2 linked regions of the Elephas maximus indicus genome follow. Each later gene encodes a partner of the first gene's protein in a complex. Links are inferred from orthologs where the notes say so. Each region holds a gene or a part of one and is shown in the gene's direction. Other genes may lie near its edges.

Region 1 (7,292 bases):
AATGATAGAGACAACACAGGTACTAATAAAAGACCCAGAAAGCCAGTAAGTCTGGTGTGTTTGAGCCTCAGTCTTCCTGGCAGGGCTGAAGGTAGCCCTTTCTCATTCCTTTGTATTTGGACACAGACTGGGGCTCCCAGCCTCTTGCTGAGGCCCTCCTCATCCTCCCATCTAGCCTGAGTATCTGACCTGCAAGATGACAGACGAGGGGCTGTGGGTAGAGAGCCATCTACCCTTTCTTGTGAGATTGGTCTGCAGGGGAAGGATGGGACTTAGGCAGGAGTGCATTGAGACGGGGTCAGAGAGGGTCCACTTCAGGGGAGGCTCTGCACCAGGATCCTGAGGCACGTGGTTCAAAAAGCAGCAAGAATTGCCAGGGACCTGGAGGAAATGGTCTGAGCTGTCCAGCAACTGGTTTGTGCTGTCCTTTGGTACCTCTGACTGCAGGGCAGGGAGCTCCAGTTGGTGAGGGTCCTCACTGGGGAGGGATCGAAGCTGGCGGGACAACACTGAGGGGACAAAGAAGATTTTCAGGGGCAGGCCAGGGCCTCTTCCCCCAACCCATGCCTTCCTTGATGGTAGCCTCAAGCCTCTTACCTCCATGCTCTGCTGGCAGGCTCCCCCTTATGTCAGAGGAGTACATCGCAGGTATGAGGAGGAGGCAGAAGGAGAAGAGTAGGACCTGGAGCACAGAGAAAAGGAGATAAAGAAAGGGGCTCTGGATTGCACCCTGCCCCCGCTACCTGAGAAAAAGATGTCTCCTTCCATCACCAGCCTCACCAGGACACAGGTGCTGCTGCTGCTGGTTTTGTTTGATATCTGAATCACCATGGCTTGGAGTTTCCTCAACTGATCCAGAAGGGACCTAGAGGGAGAGAAGGGAGAGAAGAGAGAGTGAGCACACCCTGGCCTGGTAACTGAGATACAATGAAACTCTCCTGTTAAGGCCACCCCCTCCATCTGTGCCCTGGATCATCTCTTACTTTGTTTTTGCCAGTGACCACTTTTCTGCAGATAAAATGCTTAAAGCTCCCCATTAAAAACAAACAACAAAAAAAATAATCTCTCCACCCTGACAAATTCCTTTGGCAAATACCTTCAGTAGTTCTGCCTGATCAATGATGCCCATAGTCCTCACCAGGCATTCCATAACCTCTACCTTCTGGTCCCAACTCACCTGTGTCAGAGTTCCAGCCAAACCAGATGGTGGTGTGTTCACTCTGCTTGAAATGTTTACTTCACCCCTAGAATCCTATCTACTATCAAATGCCATCTACCCACTGAAGTGTTTCTTCCTCCTTCCTTTCTCTTTCTTGGTTATAGTTATTTGTGAATTCTGCCAGTACTTTGAGCTTCCTGGACCCACATTGAAGGCTAAGTACCAGATTGCATATAGGAGCTGCCCAGTTAGAAGTCAAGTGTGGAACAGGGGAAAGAGTGGGGCAGCATTAAATGGGGGTGATGGGAAAGGACTAATGTTGGAGGGTTGCTTACAGATTCTCTTCCTCCAAGAGCTGCACCTTGTTCTGTAACTCCAGATTCTGGGCTGTGTATTTCAAGATCCTGGGGGGAATAACAGGGATATGACCTCTGTCTTCCCTTTAAAATCATTTCCAACTACCTCTGTTCCCCCCACCCTTGAGCCCTTCTTCCTTTCATACCTGCTCTCTAAACCTCCCACATACACCTTCTTCTTCCTACGACTCTCTTGAGCAGACTTTTTGTTTCGAATCTTCCTCCGTACTCGTTTGAGGGCTTGTTCCTCCTTCTGGAAGAAGATGGGGGAAGGGGCATCATCAGAGGAACACTGGACCGAAGAGTTGGAAGGCAAATGAGTTCAATCACCTGACCAGTATGCACTCGGCTTCTGTGCAGAACGCCGCTGGGAGCCAGGTGTTAACATCTCTGTTAATAAGCCCGGACCACTTTTAACAATTTTATATTTTTTTTAAATCTCCCAAGCCCACATCTGCCTCCTTATAATTTCTATCCATTGGACTGACCTAGTATCTAATCTTTGAAGCCGTGTTGAACAAACCTTCCTTAGTTATTTTAAGACATTTGACATTTCTTCAGAGTTTAAAAAAAAAAAAACCTGGACAAAAATTTTATCTCATTTTATCTACTCTCCTCAGGATGGATTCCATCCTGTTAATATCTGTTAAATATCTGGGTTCAAAACTCAATACTAAGATGTGCCCTGGCAAATACAAAAGAGAACAGGATAGTCACTCCACTTCTGAAGGCAACACCTCTACTGATGCAGCCTCCAAGTCCCATTCACTCAGTAGCCGTATCTTCCTGCTGACCTGCTGACTCACTGCACTTGCAAGAAATTTATATTTAAATTCCCTTAACCATTCTGTCAGTGAACATTGATTTCATCACAGTTGCACAATACCGGGCCTATGAAGTCACTCAATAAATATAAACGCAGGAATTTATATTTATTTTTGTTATACTGTTACTCCAACCTTACTGAATGATCTAAAGCTTAATTCTATAATTCAGCCAGAAGTGGATTACTACGAAGTCAATGAAATCTAAGTGTCAGAGACCCTCACTTGCACAAGGCTCTATAGTAATATTGTGCTGATAATTATGATTTTTTTTTCTTAATGAGAATACTGAAATTGTATGTTTCAGACCCCACAAAACCAGCATTTTGCATCCATCATATTACCTATATGCCCCAGCTTCCCATTACCAACAAATTTGCTAAATTTCCCACCTCTGTCCTTTTTTGGGAAACTCTGGTGGTGTAGTGATTAAGTGCTATGGCTGCTAACCAAAAGGTCAGCGGTTCGAATCCACCAGGCACTCCTTGGAAATTCTATGGGGTAGTTCTACTCTGTCTTATAGGATAGCTATGAGTCAGATTGACTCGACAACAGTGGGTTTGCTTTCTTGGTTGGTCCTTTTTCAAGTTACTGATAGAAAATTAACAAGATTAGCTTACTCGAGACTCATAAAACCTCCCTCCAGCTTTTGCTCTGCCAATGGGAGACTTACCTTAGTAAGAGGAAGTGTCCCAGGCAGCGAAAGCCCCTCCTTCTCCAATAGCCTCTTCTCCTCCTCTGTCAGTATCAGTTCCTCAATCTCCTGGGGTTATTGAGGGTGGGAGGGAGAAGCAGAGTTGCAAGGGGTTGTCAGAGGAATGGGGAATCCTGCCCCCATTTGCGCAATGTAGGAATAATCCTCCTGTTAGTCAAGTACCTGCTCTGCAGGCTCCTTCACCTGCAGGGGAGTCATCTGGGCCACCTTCCCACAGCTCCCACTGTCTGCAAAAGAAAAAGTATGAATAGCCAGACCCATGAGCACTTTCCTCCCCATAAACCTCAAATATTTCAGACTCACCTGTATCTACGGAGACATGTTCCTGTGGGAGAGAGTAGTTGTGATCATGACTGACAGGACAGGGATTGAAGGAGCTGAGAGCCTTCAACGATGCTGGGGGACTTAGCAGGGAACTCAGGAAATCCTCCACATCCCAATCACTCAGTACCTGCACATGGTTCAATAAACAGGCTTTGACCTATCACCACCATCCCATGCCTCATGGACGCCCCCAGCCCCGTGCCTCACCTACTCAGAACTTCCACTCACCTCGGAGAGCGGCAGCTCCCAGTCCAGCGGAGCCTCCAGGGCCTCCTCCGGCGCCACCCCCAAATCTCCGCTTTCCTCTAGCAGAAAACCCAGCAGGTCTTGGTCGTTGGGACCCAGTGCCAGCTCCATACTACAGACAAGAATGGACAGAAACCCGGGGATTCACCCCGCCACCCAGCTCCAACCCCCGAATTTCAGGCACGAACCACAGCCCAGTTGTTTGTTGGTCTCGGGTCCCTCTTCGCCGCACTTTGCCTTTAGCTGTCACTCTCACGCGGACCCGCCTCCCAGATCCAGTCTCTGCCGCTTCCAACACAACGGAAGTAATACATCTCGCCACCATGGCACTCTGGGACATGGAGTTCCCTCCAACTCGGAAGTGGCCTGGGTGCTGCGCCACGTCCCAGGAGCTATGCAAATAGTGGGGACGTCCCGTCAGCCTCCGCACACCCTGAGGGCGGGAATTCGGGTGATCCGGCTCCGCCTTCGCCTCGAGCGAAAAAAGGAAGGATTCCAGACTAAAAGGGAACTCGAGCACAGTTCGGGCGTTTCCTCTGGATTGTGCGCGCCCTTGCTTCCTGCCGGGGAGGGGCTGCCAGTCTTCGGCCGGCTGTCGAGCATCGAGAGCTGGGGCCAGAGCAGCTTCCTGCAGTCCCGGCAACCATAGAGCGCGGGCCCAGGGCGCCGCCCGCGGGTGGGGGACGTTCCGGGGACGGAAGTGGCCGAGAGAGAGCCTGTCGGCGGGAGGGCGAGGCCAGAGCCCCAGAGCGACCGGGAGAACGACCGGGCTAGCGGGCCGGCGGGCGGGGCACAGAGCCGGGCAGCTCAGGTAGGCCGGACCGGGCCGAGCTAGAGCCCCGGGGTGGGGCCGCAAGGCCCGGCCCGGGAGGCGGGCGGGCGGGGCCGCTGGCAGTCCTGCGTCTGTTTCGGGTCCTTTTGGAGAGGTCAGGGTCCAATATATCTCGGCTTGGTCTCGGAGCTCAGTAGGCCGTTTTGCGGGAGCCAGGCTTTTCCTAGGCGCAGTCCTTTGCCTGCGGTGGGCTTTAGGGAAGGTGAGGAGTGACCACAGTGAGGCGCAGGGCGGTAATAGGTTTTGAGGTTAGCTGATAGTGGATATGTGAGTAGGAACGCTTTGCTAAGTTTGGGATTAGATGAGATTGGGTGGTGGATTTAACGTTAGCTTTAAGAGTTATAAAGCCAGGGTCGAAACTTCGAGTTATTAGTGTAAATTCAGCCTATTTTATATGTAAAGTTTAGATTGAGGCCATTATTTTGTTTTCTGGGATGGACAGCCTAAATCAAAGTTAGAGTTCAGGGTCGGGTTAAAGGTCAACAACAGGAATTAGGTTAGACGCCCATTTTAGGGATTACAGAAGTTGGCAAGGTCAATATTAGGGATACATAATGATGGGGTGGGTTAGGAATAAAAATACAAGTGAATATTAGTTTTAAGACTCAGCATTTAGAGTTAAGGTCAGGGAGTTTGATGTTAACGGTAAAGTCAGGTCAGCATTTAGGATCAGGCATTGAATATGGTTCTCTGCTAGGAAAGAGACGACTGTCAAAGCCAGTATTGGCAATCAGGAAACTGGTTAGGGTCAGAGTTAATGTTAGGAATTAGGGGGCAGCTTTAGGGGTTATGATTGAGGTCAGGGTAGTTGATCTCAGGTAGATGAAATTTAAGAAGCTGTCACTAGGTAGATGCTCTTGCTTTGGGGGAAAGTCTTATTCCTAGGTAGTCACGGGGACTTCTTTAACCCAGAATGATGACAATCTGGGCTGGAAGTGCAGGCAACTAGGAATCCAGCTTCTCTATTCTACTCTCTAAATCCAAGTTTCTTTCTGTGGCCAGCACAAATGGAGGATTGGGGTTTCCTGGACTGTGTTGTTTACAAGGTGAGAGATAAGAAAGGGACAGGGGCCCAGGAGATGCACAATGTCTAGTCATAAGTGGAGAACTACCGAGGGGAGAAGAGACTGATGACTAAGGGGGAAGCAGACCAAGGAAATGCTCTTGTCATGGGAGAAGAGGGTGGCCGAATCTACCGAAAGTTAACTCCTACTGCTCCCTCATTCCCTAGATATTAAGCCCTCCTCTCCAGCTCTCATCCCTGGCGCTGCATTCCACACCCTTCCTGCATACCCCCTTACAAAGTACTTCCCTTGCCTTTAACTCTCCATATTCTTCATCTGCTTACCACCTATTCCCAACCTCAGTTCTGCCAGGCCTTCCCTACTTGATTCACACATCCTACCTTAATTTACCCTTATCCAAACCTGAGCTTTCCCATCATGTTAAAACACCCTTCTACCTTTTTCACCCACTCATCCATCTGCATACCATCTGCTCATCTGAGCAGCCTCCCCAACCCAACACAACTGCCACATACCCCCAGTCCCTGTGCCATCTTCCAATTCTAAGCCTCCTTTAATTTCTTGGTCCAATTGAAGATCCCCTTCCCCCACTCCCCAAACAGAAAAGAGGAAACGAGACCCAAAGAGGAAACTGGGTCTTGCTGATCCCACGCCCAGCCAGGCCACTGACCACACCCCCATTTCGCTCCCAGCCTGACCCAGCCACTGACCACAGCCCTAGCCCCTACCCAGCCTGACCCAGCCATTGGCTGCATCCCATCCCGCCCCCAGCTCCAGCTTTACTTAGCCATTGCCAATGTCCTCTCACCGTACCCACACCCCACCTAATTTAGCCACTGACGACAGCCCCATCTCTTTTCAATCCCCTGTAGCCTGACCTGGCCTCTGACCTCACTCCATCTTTTCCCTGAGTCTGACTTAGCCACTGCCCATATATTCATTCCTCTACTTCCCCTGTGCTGATCCAGTGACTTATCATATATTCATCTTTCCTGCCACCATCATTCCACCATCTCTAGCCTGATGTAGTCACTGACCACGCCCCACCTGCTCCTACCTGGCTACTAACCACATACCTGTCCCCTTTTCCTGGCAGCCTCATCCTCACATTCCCAGCTCAACCTGATTCCTCTCCCCTTTACCTAAACTCAAGCTGTCCCAGAAACTAAGTGGCTACTGATGACAGGAAGCTATGGGACCCCCACCTGACTTTAGGCCCTGGTCTCTGAGGGTTGACAGGACAGACTTGTCAAGTCCTGTCAGTTCTACTTCTTAACCTTTTTTCTAAGTGACATCTTCCTCTCCACCTTCTAACTCTGGCTTCCATATCTCTCACTTGTGCTAATATGGTATTTTTCTAACCAATCTCCAAGATAACTGTCAGAGTTATATTCTAAAATCCAGTTCTGGTCATGTTCCTTCTCTGCTCAAAAGCCTCCCTTGGCCACTTGCTGCCCTCTAGTAGGTAAAATACCTCATACTCCTCTCTAGTCCTCCCTTGCCTTTCTATCCGAACCCTAACTTCCCCACCACTGCTCCCTTGCAGGTACCCTGTGCTTCAACCAGCCTGCCTACTCACTTCCCTGAATGCTCCTCTGCGATTTCCTGCTTCTCCACCTTTGCTTATGCTATTCTCTGCCTGGAATGCTACCCTTGACTCATCTCCGGCTGGCGTAGTGGAGAGAGCTTGGGCCTTGGAGTCAGAGAAACCTGAGTTCGGATCCTGGCTCTACAACTTGTTAGCTGTGTGACTTTGGACAAGTACATTTGAACATATACTTCTTTGAGTCTCAGGTTCCTAGTCTGTAAAA
Region 2 (7,916 bases), on another chromosome or scaffold:
TGAGTTGGGAGACTCGGCCCAGATAATCTCCCCCCAAGCCTGGGCCCCCTCCTCCCCCCGGCTTCTGGAGGTGCCAGCAGTGGGGAGGGGGTGCAACTGTCCGAAAGCTTGGGACCTGCTTGAGAAGTTTCCAGAGGCTCAGGGCCAGCCAGGTGCCAGCCTGCCCCATCTGCTACCGCGTCAGGCCACAGGAGGCAAACCTGGGTCTCGGTGGGAGCTGACGCCCCCTCCCCTCCTCCACTCAGGGGCTCCAACCTGTGCCCCTTGGGCCTTCCTGGCACCACCTGGGCAACAATGACCCTTTCAAGTGGTGCCCTGGGCACGCAGCCAGGGCAGGAGCCGCCAGCCAGCCAATCCCCTGGAAACCATGTCAGACGCCCATACTGGAGGGTCAGTTTTCTGCTTTCTGGGGAGTTGGGGGGAGGTGATAGGGGTCCCAGGACACTGCCGTGGACAAATCCCAGCCCAGCCCAGGCCAGCAAGGTGGTGGGTAGGGCAGTGAGGGGGCTTACCTTCCAGGGAGCTGGGTGGCTTCTGGGCAGGTGTCAGGATCCAGGGCCCAGGTGCCTACCTGGCATGGGGGTGGGGAGGGGATCTGAGGCTGGGGTGCTGGCCTCCCCACCTGTTTGTCCAACTTCTTCTCCCTGGTGGCTGCTCTAGGCCCCGTGCCAGCTGGGACTAGTGCAGTGGCGGCGTGCGCTGGCCGGTGGTAAGTGTGTGAGAGGCCGGCCTGCCCTTGCGGCTGCAGGTGTGTGGCTCTGTCGTAAGGTGCTTTTACGTGAGAGCAGCTGCCCTTAACCCCTGCGTGCCCGGAGGCCAGGATGACCCGCCCTGTCATTCACTGCTGGGCCCCTGGCATTGGCACATTCAGGTGTGCAGAAAACATTTGCTGAATAAGTTAAGGGATGGATGGGTTGAAATCCCTGGCTCTGCCTGCCCCTGTCCTGTCTGCATCAGAACTGCCAAGTCTTTGCTTTTGCTCCACTGTCCACCAGACCCACTCTCCCCACTTCCCTGCAGATCTGAACGCAAATCCTGTTTCTCTGCCGAGAACCTTCAACCTCTTCCCAACTGTGTGGCCTTGGGTAAGTCGCTTAACCTCTCTAGTCCTTAGTTTTCTCATCTAGAAAGTGGTATGAGTGGTGTAGTGGTTAAGTGCTACGGCTGCAAACCAAAAGGTCTGCAGTTCAAATCCACCAGGCACTGCTTGGAAACTCTATGGGGCAGTTCTACTCTATCCTATAGGGTCTCTATGAGTTGGTATCGACAAGACGGCAACGGGTAGGGTATGAGACAGTGGTGGTCCAGCAGTAGAATTCTCACCTTCCGCGCAGGAGTCCCAGGTTCAATTCCTAGCCAGTGCATTTCATGCGTAGCCACCACCCATCTGTCAGTGGAGGCTTGCGTATTACTAGGACTCTGAACAGCAGAGCTTCCATACTAAGATGGGCTAGGAAGAAAGGCCTGGCAATCAAGTCTCCAAAATTAGCCAATGAAACCCCGTGGTCTTATGCCCAGATGATCATAGGACGGTGCAGGACAGGGTCGCATCTTGTTCCGTTGTGCACGGAGTCACCAAGAGTCGAGGGCAGTTAACAACAACAACCCATTAGCTAATGAAAAAAAAAAGAGCCTATCTTTTTCTTTCACAGCTGCCTGTATGACTTTTAAAGCATTTTATCAGCCACTGGAACTACCTTGAGCCTGACTTGCTTGCATGTTATCTCTCTAGGATGTAATCCCATTTTGTCTTGCTCATCGCTATATCCCTAAGGGCTAGAATAGTGCCTGGTATACGGTAGGAGCTCAATAAATATTTGTGAAATTAATGGAATATGGAGTGGGAGATGGAAACACCCTGCCAGGACCCTCTTACTGGAGGCGGTATCTGATGCTGATGGCAGCAGCCACTCGGGCCACCAGGGGGCGCCAGAAACCAGACAACGGCCCTAGCAGGGCAGCCCCAGCTTTGGACCCCGCAAAATGGGGACGACCCCCGAGGGATGGGAGGGTGGGGAGACGCCACCTCCAAGTTCTTTTTTTTTGTTTCCATTTTTTATTAAGGTTATACATGCACGCACTTAAAAGTTGCTTTAAAAATGTTTATTGGGGTAAGTCCGTTTAACATGAAATTTGCCATTTTAGCCATTTTTAAATGCATAACTCAGTGGCATTAATTACAGTCACATGTCGTGAGACCATCACCGTTATCCAGTTCCAACATTTTCCTTTCCCCAAACAGAATATACATGCATTTTCAAGAGTCAAATAATTGTCAAGTTTCATTAAGGAAATCAACATTGAATTCTCCTGGAAACTTGCTCCCACGTTGTTTTAGCTGATAGTTTTGACATTTACCCCCTCTTTTTTAAATACTGTGCTAGTTTTTTGTCTTACCGCTTCTTGACTTTTCAGTTTGCATATTGGGTTCCCACCAGGAGAGATTCAGAGTCACCCCTGAGGTTAAATTTGTGTCATTTTTTTTTATCCTCACCGCTGCTCCCAGCCCCAGCCCTTCTGCCATTATCAGATCCCGGGGCTCTCAGACTCTACGGGGGGCGGTGGTGGCTCAGTGGCAGAATGCTTGTCTTCCATGCAGGCGACCCACGTTCCATTCCAGGCCGGGGCCCCTCATGCGCCAGCCACCACCGGTCTGTCAGTGGAGGCTTCTCTGTTGCTAGGATGCTGAACAGGTTTCCGCGGAGCTTCCAGACTGAGCTGGACGAGTAAGAGTGGCTTGGCGATCTACTTTTGAAAATCAGCCAGTGAAAACCCTATGGATCACAGCGGCCTGACCTGAAACCCATCACGGGGATGGCACAGGACCAGGCAGTGTTTCATTCTGTTGTATATGGGGTCGTTATTGAGTCGGAACAGACTTGACAGCACCTAACAACAACAACTAATAGCCACATTTATTATGCCCAAATCCTGACATCAGAATGAACACTCCTGTAATGAATACACTCACCATTATGTACCAATAACAATGTTAACTCAAGTGTTCCCAGCACAAAGATAGCACTGATTTACGGGGTGACACTTCGGGTGATTCAGAGCAGATGGCTGAGCTCCTGTTTTCTCGCGTGTAAAACGGGAATGATAATAGCACCCATAAGGTCGGTTAATCTTTTCCAATTAACAAGTGTCAAATCAATTTTGAAATGATAAGTTTTCAAAAGTAATACTTTCAAATCCTCTAGGTGCCAGTTGTCTGTTAGGTACCGGGAATATACTATAAAAAAGAAAGACCCTGGGTGGTACAAAAGGGTTGTGCTCAGCTGATGCTTGAAAGTTTGGCGGTTTGAACCGCCCATGGATTCATGAAAGAAAGGCCCGGTGCTCTGCTTCCATAAGGAAAACCCTGTGAAGGAGTGCAGCTCTATCCTGTGACACGTGGGGGTCGCCGAAAGTTGGAATTAACTTGACCGCACAAGACAACAACGACAACAACAAAAGGTGCCCCGGGGGCACAAATGGCTAAGCACTTGGCTGCTAACTGAAAGGCTGGTGGTTCCTACCCACCCAGAGGCTTCAAGGAAGAAAAGGCCTGGAAATCTGCTCCTGTAAAGATTACAGCCAAGAAAACCCTGTGGGGGCAGTTCTGCTTTGTCACAGGGGCCCCTGTGAGTTGGAATCAACTCAACGGCCCACGACAACAGTTTATGGAAATATCTCATGGAGAGAGAGACTTTATTGTCAAGCCTAATAAATGCTCAGAAACGTTATTTTTTAAATATTTATTTAATTGTGGTGAGTACACGTGTCTATACGTATATACCAAACCCGATGCCATTGAGTTGATTCCCATTCATAGTGACCCGATAGGACAGGGTAGAACTGCCCCATAGGGTTTCCAAGGCTGTAATTTTTAAGGAAGCAGACTGCCATGTCTTTCTCCCTTGGAGCAACTGGTGGCATACAACTGCTAACTTCTCAGTTAGCAGCCAAGAGCTTAATCACTGCACCACTAGGGCTCCTCAGGCAAATGTGTTAAAAAAAAAAAAAAAACCCAGTGCCGTCGGGTCGATTCCGACTCATAGCGACCCTATAGGACAGAGTAGAACTGCCCCATGGAGTTTCCAAGGAGCGCCTGGCGGATTCGAACTGCCGACCCTTAGGGTTAGCAGCCGTAGCACTTAACCACCATGCCACCAGGGTTTCCAGAGCAAACGTATAGAGACCAAAATTCATTAGTGCGTACCAGGGGCGGGAAGGAGCCCTGGTGGCACAGTGGGGTTAAAGCGCCCAGCTGCTAACCAAAAGGTTGGTGGTTCGAACCTACACAGCGGCTCCTCGGGAGAAAGACGGGGCGGGCTATCTGCTTCTGTAAAGACTGTTGTCGTTAAGTGGCGTCTAGTCAATTTCTAGGCTGTAATTTTTAATCTCTAAGGGAGGAAGGAGATCGCTAGGTCTTCCTCCAGCGGAGCAGTGGGTGGGTTTGAACCACTAACCTTTGGGGTTAGCAGCTTAACCGTTAGAGTGCTTAGCTGTTGCCCCAAGAAAACCCAACGGGGACTTCTACTGTCACATGGGGTCTCTACGAGTCGAGAAATGACTCGACAGCACCTCACAACCACAAAAATCTTTACTGAAGCAGATCGCCAGGCATTTGTCCCGCGGAGCCGCTGGGTGACTAGAATGATGGGGACAATATTAAATAAGGACGACAACGACGTGCCCTTCCACCCCCTGGGCGTCTGGGGGCGCTCGAGGCGCTCCCGGCTTCCGCGGACGCGCGCAGGCCCCGCGCCCGAGCCCCGATTGGCGGCGCCCGGGTGCGCGATGGCGCAGCGCCTGGTCCCGCCCCGGCCCCGCCCCCGGCGGCCCGGCCCCCTCCCTGCTCCCTCCAGCCGGCGGCGGCGGTTGTTGTTCAGCGGCGGCGGCCGCAGCTCGGCTCGCAGCCCCTGGCCGCCCGCCCCGGCCCGCGCGCGGCCATGGAACTGGAGGTGCCGGACGAAGCGGAGAGCGCCGAGGCGGGGGCCGTGCCCTCGGAGGCAGCGTGGGCCGCGGAGACCGGCGCGGCGGCAGGTAACGGTTCCGGACCTCGCCGTCCCTCCCCTCGCCCCGAATGGGCCCGCCCGCCGTCCCCCCCGCCCGCCCAGTGGACCCGCCCGAGCGCCGGAGGGGCGCGCGGACCCGCTGCGGCGGGGAGGCCGGAACGTTCCACTCGGGGGCGCTCGCGGGGGGGATGGAGCGGCCCATGCCGGGGGCCCAGGGAGACTGGAACGTCCTGCCCTGGGGGCGCGCAGTGGCGCCGCCCATTCTGGGGGTGGGGGGCGGTGGAGAACCACCGGCTTGGGGGCGGGACGTGGGCGCAGGCCCCCATCCTGGGAGCCTGTGGGTGCAGCAGCCCGATTGGAAGCATACGGCAAGATGGTCTTCGCTTTTGGGGGACCCCGGGAGGGAGGGTCGGGGTGCCCCATTTAGGAAGCTGGGTGGGTGAACTGCCTCACTCTGAGTGTGCTTGGGGCGTCATCCCACCCACTCTTTTTGTCAAGGGGGTGCTCTGAGTGTGGGATGGTTGAGTACCCCCGTTCTGCTGAGGGGATCTGCTCTCTAGGGGGTCCATGGCAGGGGGTTGACAATGCCCCAGCTGTCAACACCCGCCTTGACCCATTCCTCTGGGGCGCCCCTCCGCGTGCCAGCTTCCTGGCCTCCCACCCACAAGCATCACCCCAGTGGGTATGGTATCTCTAATTGGTCTTGAAGGGAAGGGGCTGCAGGGAGCAGAGGTGGGAGTCTTTGAGGCCCTCCAGGTCAGCTCCTGACTTTGTCTCAGCTCTTTCTCTAGAATACACCAGACCTGGGTACCGGTGCACTGACCACTCCCTTCCTTCCTGCGCCTCAGTTTTCCTTCCCTATAAAATGAGGAGCTCAAGGGGATGATGTTTTGAGATGCCGAGGCTGGGCAAGCATGCGGGGGCAGGAGACCTTGGTGGCCTGTCCCCCCAGCCCTCTCCCTGAACATGTGTGAGGGGTCATGGCTCCCTGGTCCCCGTTCCCCTTCTTCTCACCTCTCCCTCGCCCCCCAGCAGAACAGGTGTGGGGAGATGGGTGGCCCCTCCTTGCCCTGGGGTCTCCCCACCTGCCTGCGCTTGGGGTGGTGTGCAGGGCAGAGCCCCTACCCAAAGGAACCGTACCCTCTTGGTCACAAGCTACCAAGTGGGAAGTTTTCAAATCCACAAAATCCTCCGCCTTCCCCCCCCCCCCGCAGCCTTCATGACTGTGGCAGCGTCTCTTGACACCCACATGGGCATCCGTCCTCCCTCTCCCCCGGGCCTGCCGAAGCTTCCTTGGCAGGCAAGGAGATGCTGTGTGTGGTGCCTGGGAGCAAGGAGAAATGTCTGGAGGGAGAGAGAGAGAGGGGGAGAACGCGCGCGAGAGTTCCCCTGGCTCCTTCCCGCTGCCATCTGGAACCGCTTGGTAGATGACCCGGTTAATTCCGACAGGCCAGGTGCCTCGCCCTCGTTCTTTGCCGGCAGCCAGTGTCCAGTGGGGCCAAGGTCCCCTCCTTCCTGGCCTCATGACTTCCGCCCTCTGGCCTGGGTGGTCATAGGCAAAATAGCCCAAAACTCACGACCACAGGAAAGCCGCAGCCAGCATTTATCTTATCAGGGGCTCAGGGAGCTGATGGGGACAGATAAGTCCCTGACTCCTCAGGCTCTGGCTGGTCTCATCTCGGAGGAGCCTGGAGAAGGGGCTGGCCCTTCCGCCTTGCCTCCCTGCTCCCCTAAATCCTCAGAGATCTGACTCCACTGGTTTATTACTTATTTCGCTCTTTTTAAAATGAAGAGCTGCCTCTCCCCCCAGACCAGGTTCTCCTGTTAGCAGTTTGGGTTGTAACTGTCCACGTATTTTCTGTTGCTCATGCAAACGTATAAACACATAAATGGCCTCGTTTGTTCTTTACCGAAATGGTTTCCTCTCTACCAGGGTTTCTCTGCCTCGACACTGCTGATGTTTGGGGTTGGATCATTCCCTAGGGTGGGGCCGTCCTGTGCACTGTAGGGTGTTGAGCAGCATCCCTGACCTCCACCCACTTCATGCCAGTGGCACCCCCGCCCCCCAGCTGGGACAACCGCAAATGTCTCCAGGCATTGCCAAGCGTCCCCTGGGTGCAGAATCACCCCCAGTTGAGAACCTCTGTACTGTAACAATTATCACGTAACATGCTTGTTAATCTGTAGTAATCTAGATTTTTCCCCTCACATCGCTTTCAGTTATTTTTTCGGAGTAGAGACAGAGCGCAGTGTGTAGTTGAGACGGTGGAAGCTCTGGAATTACGATGCATGGGTTGGAATCCCAGCTAAGCCTCTCAATTGCCACTTAACCTTGAAAGGCAGATGTTGTTGCCCCCCTGAGCCTCAGTATGCCCATCTCTAAAATGGGGGTGATGATGACACCCAGCCCAGAGGGTGGCTGGGAGCCTTTGGTGAGTCACGCAGGACTTAGCAGGTTGTGAGTGGTTAATACATGTCATCAAAGAATCCTAGTTAGCTTTCCACACATGCAGTTATCAAGTCTGCCAGCCTCCCGCTGAGGAACGTTCTGGTTGTTTCTGGAGTATTCCTCAGCTGTTACAAGCAAAAAAAAAAAAAAATTTGCCGTCGAGTCAATGCCAAGTCGTGGCAACCCCACGTGTGTCATCATAGAACTGCGCTCCAAAGTGTTTTCAGTGGATTTTTCAGAAGTAGATTGCCAGGTCTTTCTTCCGAGGCACCGCTGGCTGGGCTCAAACTGCCAGCCTTCCAGTTAGCAGCAAGCGAGTTCACTGTGCCACACAAGGGCTGTTACAAGCAAGGCAACGGTAAACATCTTTGATCATGGACTTATAACCGTGGGTGCATTCATTTCTAGCCGTGCAGTGGCTGGGCCAAGGTCAGGCAGATTTGCAAGTTACTGTCTAATGCTCC

Evidence for each region.
Region 2: the proteins of TLN1 (region 1) and PIP5K1C are in contact, whole or in part, in a crystal structure (PDB 1Y19), measured with the Mus musculus proteins. The link is inferred for Elephas maximus indicus from reciprocal best matches to the Homo sapiens genes TLN1 and PIP5K1C. Residues at the interface, in NP_035732.2 of Mus musculus: Pro209, Val210, Gln211, Leu212, Leu214; in NP_032870.2 of Mus musculus: Pro646, Leu647, His648, Tyr649, Ser650, Ala651.

The regions. Positions count from the first base shown.
Region 1 is NC_064827.1:44,515,659-44,522,950, reverse strand, and holds the start of TLN1 (talin-1), read left to right. Parts: upstream 1-4,206; 5' UTR 4,207-4,435; intron 4,436-7,292. Other genes in the region: CREB3 (cyclic AMP-responsive element-binding protein 3), read right to left, coding at 172-509, 598-682, 781-865, 1,495-1,563, 1,662-1,768, 3,013-3,102, 3,217-3,281, 3,358-3,505 and 1 more. UniProt on the Homo sapiens protein: High molecular weight cytoskeletal protein concentrated at regions of cell-matrix and cell-cell contacts. Involved in connections of major cytoskeletal structures to the plasma membrane.
Region 2 is NC_064821.1:6,755,922-6,763,837, reverse strand, and holds the start of PIP5K1C (phosphatidylinositol 4-phosphate 5-kinase type-1 gamma), read left to right. Parts: upstream 1-4,842; 5' UTR 4,843-4,937; coding exon 4,938-5,031; intron 5,032-7,916. UniProt on the Homo sapiens protein: Catalyzes the phosphorylation of phosphatidylinositol 4-phosphate (PtdIns(4)P/PI4P) to form phosphatidylinositol 4,5-bisphosphate (PtdIns(4,5)P2/PIP2), a lipid second messenger that regulates several cellular processes such as signal transduction, vesicle trafficking, actin cytoskeleton dynamics, cell adhesion, and cell motility.